Macaca fascicularis: one gene and its partners. The protein of the gene in region 1 purifies or fractionates together with the protein of each later gene. This does not show direct contact. Links are inferred from orthologs where the notes say so. Each region holds a gene or a part of one and is shown on either strand. Other genes may lie near its edges.

What was found. Proteins that work in one complex are often made in the same cells at the same time.
Region 2: the proteins of FASLG (region 1) and SNX33 purify together in Homo sapiens (co-immunoprecipitation; 3 studies listed by BioGRID and IntAct, counting the BioPlex papers as one, with this or other methods). This does not show direct contact. The link is inferred for Macaca fascicularis from reciprocal best matches to the Homo sapiens genes FASLG and SNX33.
Region 3: the proteins of FASLG (region 1) and SNX9 purify together in Homo sapiens (co-immunoprecipitation; 3 studies listed by BioGRID and IntAct, with this or other methods). This does not show direct contact. The link is inferred for Macaca fascicularis from reciprocal best matches to the Homo sapiens genes FASLG and SNX9.

The regions. Positions count from the first base shown.
Region 1 is NC_088375.1:30,264,100-30,268,315, forward strand, and holds the start of FASLG (tumor necrosis factor ligand superfamily member 6), read left to right. Parts: upstream 1-1,413; 5' UTR 1,414-1,633; coding exon 1,634-1,978; intron 1,979-2,529; coding exon 2,530-2,575; intron 2,576-4,216. UniProt on the Homo sapiens protein: Cytokine that binds to TNFRSF6/FAS, a receptor that transduces the apoptotic signal into cells. Involved in cytotoxic T-cell-mediated apoptosis, natural killer cell-mediated apoptosis and in T-cell development.
Region 2 is NC_088381.1:52,871,567-52,875,809, forward strand, and holds the start of SNX33 (sorting nexin-33), read left to right. Parts: upstream 1-1,434; 5' UTR 1,435-2,625; coding exon 2,626-4,096; intron 4,097-4,243. UniProt on the Homo sapiens protein: Plays a role in the reorganization of the cytoskeleton, endocytosis and cellular vesicle trafficking via its interactions with membranes, WASL, DNM1 and DNM2. Acts both during interphase and at the end of mitotic cell divisions.
Region 3 is NC_088378.1:66,161,073-66,165,231, forward strand, and holds the start of SNX9 (sorting nexin-9), read left to right. Parts: upstream 1-1,350; 5' UTR 1,351-1,539; coding exon 1,540-1,551; intron 1,552-4,159. UniProt on the Homo sapiens protein: Involved in endocytosis and intracellular vesicle trafficking, both during interphase and at the end of mitosis. Required for efficient progress through mitosis and cytokinesis. Required for normal formation of the cleavage furrow at the end of mitosis.

The DNA.
Region 1 (4,216 bases):
GACACAGAGTTAAATTTGAATGTCAGTTATATGATGAATAATTGTTTAGTGTATTCCATGTTTGGACGTGTTTAAGACATACTCGTCCTAAAAATTATGTATTATTTATCTGAAATTCAAATTTAACTGGGCACCATGTATTTAATCTGGCAACCATAACAGGGACAGGACACAGAAATATCGGCAAGGACCAGGCAGGCCTTTCAGATGGTGAGGTGATGTGTGAGACACAGGCCGCTGGCGGAGGCTGGGTGACCCAGAACACCTGTCGCTCATTCTCAGGAGCAGCTGCTACCTACTTCCCACTGATTGGGTTTGCAGAGATGGCCTCGAGGGTGTCTGATATTCTGATATTGCAAAACAGAACAAAAATATGTATTTTAATGTGTATTTAAAATGTATATATATTAAAATATTTTTAATATTGATATTAAAAGTGGTCAATTGGGCTGAGTGCAGTGGCTCATGACTGTAATTCCAGCACTTTGGGAAACTGAGGTGGGAGGATGTCTTGAAGCTAGGAGTTTGAGACAAGCCTGGGCAACATAGCGAGTCCCCATCTCTACAAAAATAAATAAATAAATAAATTAGTCAGGTGTAGTGACTCATGCCTATAATCCCAGCTACTTAGGAGGCCAAGGCAAGAGGATTGCTTGAGCCCAGGAGTTTGAGGCTGCAGTTAACTATGATAGCACCACTCCACTCCAGCTTGGGTGACAGAGTGAGACTCTGTCTCTATTTAAATAAATACGTAAATAAATAAGCTGGGCAAACAATGAAAATGAAAACATTGTGAAATACAAAGCAGTTCTGTGGGTTCCACTGTTTGCAGCCTCTGATCTAATTTCTAAAGAGGGTGTAGCAGGTTTTTTAACCTGTAAATTATGGTGATTGGCAGGTCAGGGTAAATGGTAGTTGTGTGTGGGGAAGCGATGATGGCAACAGGTGTTTTCCTCCTGCAAAAACTAAAATGTGGGAGTGACTTCTCTGGCCATGGCTCCATGGTCTCTCCCCTCAGAGCCAATTTCAGTAAAATTTTTATAGTTTAAAAAATATGGTTCTGAACAATTTTTGTTAGAGGTATTTTGGTATTTTTAAATAGTTTTTTGGTCGTATACATGGTAGAATTCTTAACATTATACAATTATAATGTATAAAAAAGGATACAATTATAATTCATAAAATTATAGCCCCACTGGCCATTCTCCTGTAGCTGGGAGCAGTTCACGCCAACAGGGCTCTACCCCAATGCTGACCTGCTCTACAGGATCCCAGGAAGGTGAGCATAGCCTACCAACCTGTTTGGGTAGTACAGCGATAGCAACTGAGGCTTCCAAGGCTTTCGTCAGAAGATTGTGGGCGGAAACTTCCAGGGGTTTGCTCTGAGCTTCTTGAGGCTTCTCAGCTTCAGCTGCAAAGTGAGTGGGTGTTTCTTTGAGAAGCAGAATCAGAGAGAGACATAGAGAAAGAGAAAGACAGAGGTGTTTCCCTTAGCTATGGAAACTCTATAAGAGAGATCCAGCTTGCCTCCTCTTGAGCAGTCAGCAACAGGAGTCCTGTCCTTGACACCTCAGCCTCTACAGGATTGAGAAGTAAAACCGTTTGCTGGGGCTGGCCTGACTCACCGGCTGCCATGCAGCAGCCCTTCAATTACCCATATCCCCAGATCTACTGGGTGGACAGCAGTGCCAGCTCTCCCTGGGCCCCTCCAGGCACAGTTCTTCCCTGTCCAACCTCTGTGCCCAGAAGGCCTGGTCAAAGGAGGCCACCACCACCGCCGCCACCGCCGCCACTACCACCTCCACCGCCATCACCACTGCCTCCACTACCGCTGCCACCCTTGAAGAAGAGGGGAAACCACAGCACAGGCCTTTGTCTCCTTGTGATGTTTTTCATGGTTCTGGTTGCCTTGGTAGGATTGGGACTGGGGATGTTTCAGCTCTTCCACTTACAGAAAGAGCTGGCAGAACTCCGAGAGGTAAGCCTGCTGGCAGACTGCTGTGCCCTGGAGGCACCAGGCATAAGGGGGTGGAGGGCCCACTGCCTGGCTTGCAAAGTGCTTTTCAATCCTTTTTTTTTTTTCTTAGAAATGGGTTGTTCTAGTTATTCTATTCTATAGGCAGAGAAATGGAGGCTCATAGGAGTGAAGGGAATATTTTTTATTTTGTAAAGAATCAGAGCCCAACAGTTTTTCTTTCCTCAGTTGTCAACTCAGTCTGTTGAACCACTTACTGCCTCATACCTAGTGATTTAAGGAGTAAAAAACAAACAAAACTTTTAAGTTTTGCTTGGAAGTAAATTTGTTCAGATGACCAAACTAAATCTTGAAAATACTTAAAATACTGGTACGATTTCAAATCACAAAACTGAGGGACAGTGAAGCAAAATTGCTTGACCAAAGCCTGAGTCAGCAAAAGTTCTGAGGTATTTGGATTCTCTTTCCAGGGCTTGGTTTATTTGACGATTCTGTCTCTTTTGCTTAAATAATTTTATTTTTATTATGCATCTTTTTTCTTTCTCTTTTACTAGTCTACCAGCCAGAAGCATACAGCATCATCTTTGGAGAAGCAAATAGGTGAGTCCTTTTTCACATGTACATTGAGTTCCTAAAGGTGATCCTCAGCACTGAAATATGTTAATGGAATGCCTTATATTCTGTCCTACACTTTGGCTTATGTATACTATGAGAGGAATCCTGGCTAATTCGGAATCTCTGGTCAGTATGATTCCTTGAGCTGCTTTAAAAATGTGAAGTGAATTGAATTGCTCACAATCAATATAGCTGAGCACGGCACACAATTCAAAATCACTTCCGCTTGACTTTGGAAAGAGACACACATATACAACCGTGGACTTTTGCCCCCTGAGCAGTGGTTCCAGGCCTGTCCCCTTCCACAGACACCCTGGTCCTGGCACACATGCCAGTGGCTATGACTTCTGGGAAGAGAAGGCGAAGTGAAGGCAGAGACAGATGTTTCTGAGAAACGTCCTCTCCTCTTTTAAAGCCTCTAAAGAGATCACAGTGAAACTTTATTTATAAAATGTTTTATAGGATGTAAGCTTTTAAAATGTGGCTAATCAATTCCGTACATTAGAATGGTTTTTCTTGAAGTCACTGAGAAGCTGAAGGGAAGACTTCAGCCATCATTCAAAGGATGTTCAGCTTCAGAGGCAGTCATGAGGTACCCTTGATCACAAAGGAAAATCCTTTGTATGGGAGCTAGGGCAAGAAGACGATATGTTGGAACACTGATCTCGTGAAATTTCAGGGCATAGTTTTGCAAGCTCTGTACAGATGGATTTTACAATGTGCTTCACTAGCCTAAGATTCATTGAAATTTTAGATTTAGATTTACAATGAGATTCACTGAAGGTTTAGAGTTGGAAGGAAGCTTAGAATATCTAGTCCAGCCATTTCATTTTTTTGGAAGAGAAACAAAATGCCAGACAGATTAGGTGAATATGCCCAAGACCCCTAGTATGGAACTGGGGCTAGAAGGAACACAGGCTCTTGATGCCTTGTCACCTACAGGGCTTTCCGGTACTGGACTGGTGCCTCATGAAGTAGGGAAACTCCTGTCTCTCTGTAGTGAGCATGGAGTGAGAAATAGAGGAAAAGCAGGATACCTCTGCAAAGACTATAGATAGATCGCATCCTTAGAAACTCAGAATAAAGAAGAAGGCAGCACTGGCCATCTATTAAGTGAAGTAAGTTTCAGTTTCTCTGGATGTGGCTACTGCAGGCAACCCAGTCGCCTGTCTACTGTCCTAGACTGTTAAGTTCTTATAGGAGCCACTGTTGGGAAGCTCTGGCCCCTGAGTCTGTGTCCTAATCCTTAAATGTTAGAAAGTCCATATGTACACAAGCAGAGTGGAAATATTTGCTAGAAAAATAAAGCCTCTGGAGGATGTCTCAAATAAGATCATTTTGAAAACCTGTGGAATGTGCCTGGTCTGATAGGTACCTAAGCATTCATCTTTTACCTCCTCTCTGGAGTCAATTTAGTGATTAAAAATCAAATGACCAGACGAGTCATGTCCATCTACCCCAGTAAGCAATTATCTTCTCTAGATCAACCCAGATGAACCAGAAATTGTTAAATTATCACAAGGAAATCAAATCAGTAACTTTACTAATAAGAAAAGAGATGCAAACTAAAAATAGGGAACACCAATTTTCATCAAATTAGTAAAGTTAACAAAAACCCAGACTGAC
Region 2 (4,243 bases), on another chromosome or scaffold:
AAGATCTAGCTGGACAGGGTAGACAAGACTCCAGGGTACAGCCAGGAAAGGGGATCCTCCTGAAGCCTTTGCCTCATCTTAGGCACCTCCTCCTTCAGGAAGGTTTCCTTGATCCTTGCTCCACCCAGGCTGGAGTAGGTATCCTCATGTGCACTTTTCATGGCACTGACTAGTCACACTGGGCAGGGAGCATTTGTCTACTTGTCACAATACATCTGAGCTTTTGGAAAATAAGGATAATGTCTTAATTGTCTTTGTAGCTCAGGGGCCTGGTGCAGAGTAGATACTCAGTTAATGTTTCTTGAGTGCATGACTTGGCTGAATGAATGACAGAGAATGGATTGATTAAAGACAAGAGAGGATGGACTGTAAGCCCCCCAGGATAGGAACCCCGACTGACTTGTGGTGTACTCCCCAGTGCCCAGCACAGTGCCTAGCAGATTCAGTGCCCAAAGTGTTCCAGATATGCTGACCGAGGATCAGATCCCACTTGCCTCAAGACTCTCTACCTGACCACCTCTCTCCTTGCTGCCCCTGGCTAGTACAGAACATCCAGTCCCGCTGCCGCACTAAGCAACACGGAACCGGGTGGCACCTAGACTTGTTCCCTGTCGCTGCAGATGTAGGGTAGTGTCTTTCCCTCCTTCCAAGCTAGTCGCCCAGGGCAGGGTCGCCCTATCTGGCTAGGGTGCTGCACCCTCAGCTGTCGGTATCTTAGGTCAGACGCCCGGAACGCGCAGGCCGTTTCTACCCCTCCGGAAAACAATCTCCGAGCTGCGCCACGACCCCGTCCCTGCGGAGCAGGAGTGAGGAATGGGAAGGTGGGAAGGCGAGCCCGCGACTCTGCTCCCCAACCCCAGCTGGCACGGCTTTTCACGCACCTCTCCCCGCCCGGCCCGATTTCCCCATCCTGGCTCTGGCGCGGTGCTCCTTGCAGCCCCACGCTTTGCAAACTTTGGGAGTTTTACTCCATTTGCGTCACGGAAAAGGCAGGAGGATGACGGAGTCCAGGAAGCGAGGCAGCAGTGGCTGGCAAGCTCCACCGCCGGGCGCTCCAACCACGGGGGCGTGAGGTGTCTCCCGGCGAGGGCAGACAGACGGAGGGAGAGCAGAGGAGGTGGCGGTCCCAGAGACCAGCCCCGGAGGCTCTCGGGCTCCCTCGTTCCCGGGTCGTTTCCTCCCTCTTGCCTCCGGGACTGAGCGAGGGCACTGGCCAGATGGGAAGCCGCGCGGAGGAGTAGGCGGGGGCTCGGCTGCAGCGCCCCGGGCCCGCGGGAGGGCGGAGCTGGCCGTCCCTGCCCCGCCGGGACGCACGGAAGTGCAGCGGAGTTTGCCCGATTCTCCAGCCTGCTTCCCCCTCCCTCCTCCCTCTCCCCACCCCTCACCTCCCCTTTGGCGATCCCCTCCTTCCTCGGGACGCCACCTCCCGGAATCGCGTTTTTGTTTTGGAGCTGCCTTCTCGCTGGCGGCGCGGAGGGTCTGCGAGCGCAGGGGAAGGCAGGCTGGGGGCGCAGCCCGCCCCCCACTGGCCGGGTCCCGCAGGGCGGAGCGGAGGACGGACGGACAGACGGCCAGCCGCGCCATCTGCTCGCCGGAGCTCACTCTCCAAACTCCAAACTGTTGAGTGTGTGCGTGCACGCGAGGGTGGGGGTCGGGGGTCGTAAGTCCCGGGTGAAGAACTGGTTTCTGCTGGGGTTACCTTTGGACGGGGTTCCTGGGATTCAGAGCAGGGTCAGCGTCAGTCTCAGAAACTGCTGAGGAATTAGGCAAACAAAAGAGACCACTCAGCGACTGGCCAGAAGTCGCCCGACCGCCTCGTCGCGCCCCCTCCTTCCTCCGGGGTTGGGACTGGCCACTTCTGGGGCGGGGAGAGGGCGCCCGAGCCGGCGGGGGCTCCGGCTGCGCAGCCGGGGTCGAAGAGTTGGCGGCCTGTTGTGTAAGCCTCAGTCCTTGTTTTCCCGGCCTGGCTCGTTGTGAAGCCGGACACATCCACCCTTGGACTCGATTCAGGCGGCTGCTGCTTTTCTCCTTGCCCCTCTTGGATTTTCCGGATATTTGAAAACCCAGTGGCCCAGGAGCAAGAGGAGGAGGAAGGAGGAAGGGGCAGATCTGCAGAGGAATGTGAGAGCCTCCCAAAGCCAGAGTGGCCAAAAGAATCTGGGAGCCAGAGGGACAGCCGAGCCCTGCCTGGGTTTCTGGAATGGTGGTTTCCGAGTGAGTCTCTTCTATTTTAGAACGTTGTTCCAGTGGAAAGTGTCGAAATTTTCCCCTCGCAGGGCAGATTTCTCCAGGTCACTTGACTTTTCTTCTGGGAGTAGGAGTTAGGAGAGACTCCCCTCTAATCCCCCAGGGGCTGCTAAGGGAGGAGGCTATGGACATGAGCCCTCCCTGCTCACAAGCATATGCCCGGAGACCTGATAGGGCAGTTTCTGGGCCGTGGACATTGCTTTGAAGAGCAGAAGATTGGACAGCATCTGTGGGTGCTGAGACCCCACCTTAGGACCTGAGAGATTGAACTGTGTAAGCGCCATTCAGCTGCGAGTGCATTCTTGGACTTCCTTGTGAGCATCCCGGGTCTGGACAGGACCCTCTCCTTCCCATCTGTCTGTACCACCCAGCCCAACCATGGCACTGAAAGGCCGAGCCCTCTATGACTTTCACAGTGAGAACAAGGAGGAAATCAGCATCCAGCAGGATGAGGACCTGGTCATCTTCAGCGAGATCTCACTGGATGGCTGGCTGCAGGGCCAGAACAGCCGTGGGGAGACAGGGCTCTTTCCTGCCTCTTACGTGGAGATCGTCCGTTCTGGCATCAGCACCAACCATGCTGACTACTCCAGCAGCCCTGCAGGCTCTCCGGGGGCCCACGTGAGCTTGTACAATAGCCCCAGTGTGGCCAACCCAGCTAGGAGTGGTGGGGGCAGTGGCTTCCTCTCAAACCAGGGTAGCTTCGAGGAGGATGATGATGATGATTGGGATGACTGGGACGATGGATGCACAGTGGTGGAGGAGCCACGGGCTGGTGGGCTGGGCACCAATGGGCACCCTCCCCTCAACCTCTCCTACCCTGGTGCCTACCCCAGCCAGCACATGGCCTTCCGGCCCAAGCCACCACTGGAGCGGCAGGACAGCCTGGCATCTGCCAAGCGAGGCAGTGTGGTGGGCCGTAACCTCAACCGTTTCTCATGCTTTGTGCGTTCTGGAGTGGAGGCCTTCATCCTGGGTGATGTGCCCATGATGGCCAAGATCGCTGAGACATACTCCATTGAAATGGGCCCTCGTGGCCCCCAGTGGAAGGCCAACCCCCACCCATTTGCCTGCTCTGTGGAGGACCCCACAAAACAGACCAAGTTCAAGGGCATCAAAAGCTACATCTCCTACAAGCTCACACCCACCCATGCTGCCTCACCTGTCTACCGGCGCTACAAACACTTTGACTGGCTCTATAACCGCCTGCTACACAAGTTCACTGTCATCTCAGTGCCCCACCTGCCTGAGAAGCAGGCCACAGGCCGCTTCGAGGAGGACTTCATTGAAAAGCGGAAGCGGAGACTCATCCTCTGGATGGACCACATGACCAGCCACCCTGTGCTCTCCCAGTACGAAGGCTTCCAGCATTTCCTTAGCTGCCTAGATGACAAGCAGTGGAAGATGGGCAAACGCCGGGCGGAGAAGGATGAGATGGTGGGTGCCAGCTTCCTGCTCACCTTCCAGATCCCCACCGAGCACCAGGACCTGCAGGACGTGGAAGATCGCGTGGACACTTTCAAGGCCTTCAGTAAGAAGATGGATGACAGTGTCCTGCAGCTCAGCACCGTGGCGTCAGAGCTGGTGCGTAAACACGTGGGGGGCTTCCGCAAGGAATTCCAGAAGCTGGGCAGTGCCTTCCAGGCCATCAGTCATTCCTTCCAGATGGACCCCCCTTTTTGCTCTGAGGCCCTCAACAGTGCCATTTCTCACACGGGCCGTACCTATGAAGCCATCGGGGAGATGTTTGCTGAGCAGCCCAAGAATGACCTCTTCCAGATGCTGGACACACTGTCTCTCTACCAGGGCCTGCTCTCTAACTTCCCTGACATCATCCACCTACAGAAAGGTAAGACCCAGTGCAGGCAGGAAACCCATCCTGAGTCTGACTCTCTGCTGGGCCCTGGGGAGATGGGGATGGCCTGGATAGAATGGAGCAACTTATCTTTATTTCTCTGTCTCAATCATTCATTTAACAAATGTGTTGGACTGGGCA
Region 3 (4,159 bases), on another chromosome or scaffold:
ATTACCAAAAGCGCAAGTTATTTAAGTGAGCCCTGATTCGCTCTTCTTTGTAAACAGTGGACAATAATGAGCTTCTCAAACGTTTCTTATAAGGATTAAATGAGATGGGGATGTAAAAGCCCAGTATATTAGCAAGCAGGCTGTCAATGAATATTGGCCTCCATCTTTTTTTATGGAGAAAGACAACTATTTATGCATATTATGATGACTATAGCTTAACCATGAGCTCAACAAACACAAAAATTCACAGAAAATTCTGCGATACCGTATCTATTTTAAACCACATTATTGAATGTAACTAGTGAAACCTCAGGTCAAATAGAATGTATTTAAGGAGACACAAACTTGACATTAACTCTAAATATCAGAGTATTGAAGATTTGATAGTTGTCTCTTCTTACAAATATATCCCTCATAATAAAAAAGCACTCCACTAATATGCCAATTATGATACATCTTCCAGTTGTGTTTTGTCCTTGAGCGAAAAATCTTGCTGCTCAATTCAAGTCATTCGTTTATTCATAACACCCATATATATATCTCCAACCCTGGAGAGAAACACTGACAGAAAGATGGAAAATTTTAGAGCCCTCGTTTCCACTTCAGAGAGCCTGTTGTCCCCTAAACCTCTTGGGCCCTCGGGCATTTTTAAACTTATCAAGATTCCAGAATGAGGTTAATGGGACGTCACAAAACGAACCCCCCACCGTCCCGTCCCAGGGGCTCCAAGCCAGGACCCCAGCCTGAGGGAGCCTCCGGGCAGGAGAAAGAGGCCCAGGAAGCCATTGCTCCGTTCCTTCCCGGCTGTTTACGTGGCACTCAAGGTACTCGGCCAAGGGCACGGCGACCCCGCAACACCCCCGGCGTGGGGCAAAGACAGCGGGGTTGCGGGGCTCCTGTCTGCCGGGAGCGTCGAGAGTTCCTGCCCCCCCGCCCGCCTCATGCACGGAAAGCCCCGAGCCACGGCGTGCGGCGCTGGCCGAGCGTGAACCGGAGTCGGGTTCGGCTCCCCCGAGCGGCTGTGCGGGCCGCGGAGCGCTTCCCGTGGGGCGGCCACGCAGGGTGCGGGCCATGGCCCGGGGCGCCTGTCCGGATCCCGCCGCCGCGCGGGACGCAGCCCCCGTCCTCGACCCAGGGCGCCCGGCGGCGGCGGCAGCGACTGCCCGGGGCGGCGGCGCGGCGCGGCGCAGCGCGGGGGCGGCCAGGAGGCGAGGAGGCCGGGCCGCGGCCGAGGGCCCAGGGCGCGCTTCCGCCGGGCGCCGCGCGCGCCGCGGTAAATGGGAGGCTCGGCCGGCAGGGGCGGGGGCCGCGCAGCCGGGGACTTTCAGGAACTGCAGGAGCGGGCGGCGCGGGAGTAGCCGAGCGCCCAGCGGCTGGGCCTGAGCGTCGAGACTCGGGGCCGAGGCGCAGGAGCGGCCGCCGCGCCGGGGCCCAGCCGGAGCCGCCGCCCTCGCCCTTGCCTTCGTCCGCGCGGCTCAGAATCACCATCCGCGGCGCGGGAGACAAGCCGGCCGTCCCGGGCCGGGGGACCCGCCCGCCATGGCCACCAAGGTGAGGGGCGCGCAGCGCAGGCCCGGCCGGTCGCTCAGGCCCGCGGCGGCGCGGGGACGGTCGGGGCTGGGGCCGCGGGGAGGGTTGGGGCCGGGGGTGGCCGAGGGGTCACTCTGCGTCCTCGGTGGGGTCCCCGGGCGGGTCCGCGGCCCAGCCAGTCCCTTCTGGGCATGGGTGCGGCGGACCGTGCAGACGGCCGGGATCGCGCCGGGGGAGGGCGTCGGGTCTGGGCGCGGGTTGGGACCCCGGGCGCAGCGACGTTTGGGAAGTTTGCACCTGAGCGTGGGCTGCGGCGGGCTCGCCGGGAGGGGCCGCGAGAGCGGGACGGAAACTTCCCGCAGCCCGGGGAGGCCCCCGAGGCGACAGGCTCTCTGTGGCGTCCGGTGTCCCCGCGGCGTCTGGCGTCCCCGCCGCCCCCACGTCCCCTCCCGCTGCCGCCCAGGGGACCCTCGGCCCCGTGGGGCGGGTGGGGGTCGAGACCTCAGCAGAGAGGACGCTGCGCTTCCCGTCCCGGCCTGCGGGAGCTCGCGGCCGGGGAGAGACGGAGGCTGGGACACCCCGCGCCCCTCTGCCTTCTCTGCTGTTATTTTTTTCTTTTGTTTTGCTACCTTCTCAGTGTGAATGGTATTGCCGGCATGAATAAAATATCAAGAGGGAAATGACTGTGCTTTCGATTACGTGTTTGCCTAAAAAAGGCCCAGGCCCGAATTACGTGGTGGAACTTTGACTCCTGCTTGGTAATTGGCTAGGAGCGGTGGTTTGCTTGTTTTGCATTATTGTTTATGAAATTAGCAGTCACTCTTTGCTACCTGAATCTTCAAAAGCCACCCTCCCCCACTTCTTTTCCTTGGGCGTTTTCAGTAGTTACTTGGTGTAAAATAGTCACTGGGGAGTCATGGTCGCGGAAGGAGGACCTGGGGGAGGAGGCTCTGTACCTGAACCATTAACTGTTCTGTGATACGCTGTGAGGAGTAGGTTTACTTTTGCACTTAGTTTTTGTAGTGTCACTTTATTAGCATCAGCACCCCTTTCCCTATTTTTTTTTTTTTTTTTGAGATCTCTGAGCTACTTTTGGGTTGCTAGAAACGTTATTTTTTATATTTCGATAGGTGTTTGCTTTTTTTGGTGGAGTGTTAAGGTAGGAAATGGTAAGAAATGTGAAATCTGTTTAAAAGATCAGCGTTGCTTGACTTCGGTCTGCTAGATGTTGTCCTGTGGTAAATTTTGTGCTCTGAATCCATCTAGGTGCAGCGTTTATAGAGAAGTGGGGATTCTCCTCCAGGGAACCTGTTGCTGCTGTTACTGAAATAATTACCTTCTTGTTAATATATTATTGCCTGTGCTGTGCTTTGGTTTTATTAATGTGATAGAACTTGCCACCTTTTGAACTTATTAATTTTGTGTTGACCTTTTTAAAAATAAAACTTAGGCCAAGGATTTCTAAGGAAATTTGATTTTGAGGTTTGTTGCCAGACACTCCAGAAATTACCAGTTACACATCCTAGTACACGCTCATCTTGCAACCTTAACAGCGGTTTATAGGCTGGGCGCGGCGGCTCACTCCCACCTGTAATACCAGCACTTTGGGAGGCCGCGGTGGGCGGTTCACCTGAGGTCGGAGCTCCATACAGCCTGGCCAATATGGTGAAACTCCGTCTCTACTAAAAATACAAAAATTAGCTGGGCGTGGTGGCGCGCGCCTGTAGCCCCAGCTGCTCCGGGAGGCCGAGGCAGGAGAATCGCTTGAACCCGGGAGGCGGAGGTTGCAGTGAGCCAAGATGGCGTCACCGCACTCCGGCCTGGGCTACAGAGCGAGGAGACTCCGTTTGAAAAAAAAAAAAAAACCAAGGCGGTGTATGACATAGAGATCTGTCCAGTGGTGGTCTGTGTGTTTTTACACTCCGGTCTACTGAGGCATGTTACCTGTACTGTCCTTTAAGTGGAATGCAGTTTAGCAACTAGTGCAGGTATACGTAGTGAAATTTTTATTTCATAGTTAAGCCTGAACTTAATTTTTTTTTCAAAAAATTGAAAAGTGGTTCTTGTATATTAATCTTGAATTGCATGTGTCTTTGCTTAAACACGAGCCTTAAAACATGCATAAGCACTTCCTACTTCGTTATCTACACCACTCCGAAGGCAAATTCCAGTAATTCTGTTAGTTTCTTTCGCTGTCTAATCACTGTTCCACATGGTGCTCATTTCCATGTCTACATTGTGACAGACCATTTCCATTTTAAGAAAAAGAAGAGCAATGAAGCAGTTATTAGAAGAAGACCCTTCCTTAGTTTTCTGACATCCTGGTGATACTTGGGTCAAACCAAAGTCTCATTTTTTAATTGTCCCCAGAGAGACAAGTTGCTACTTTCACTTGCCCCATATACACACCCCTTCCCCACACCTGAGTAGTTCTGTTTTTTTTCTTCGTCTTCTTCAAGGGTGGGGAGAATGTGCTTAGTAGTAATGACTAATTTTTAATAAATGGCTCCAGTGGCACTCAGGCTGTTGCTGTAAGTATTAAGTGATGAAACGTAAATTCAGGATCTGGATATTTTAGGGGATGTTCATTTCCCTTTGAATTTACCAGAAACTTGGCTATAGTATCTTC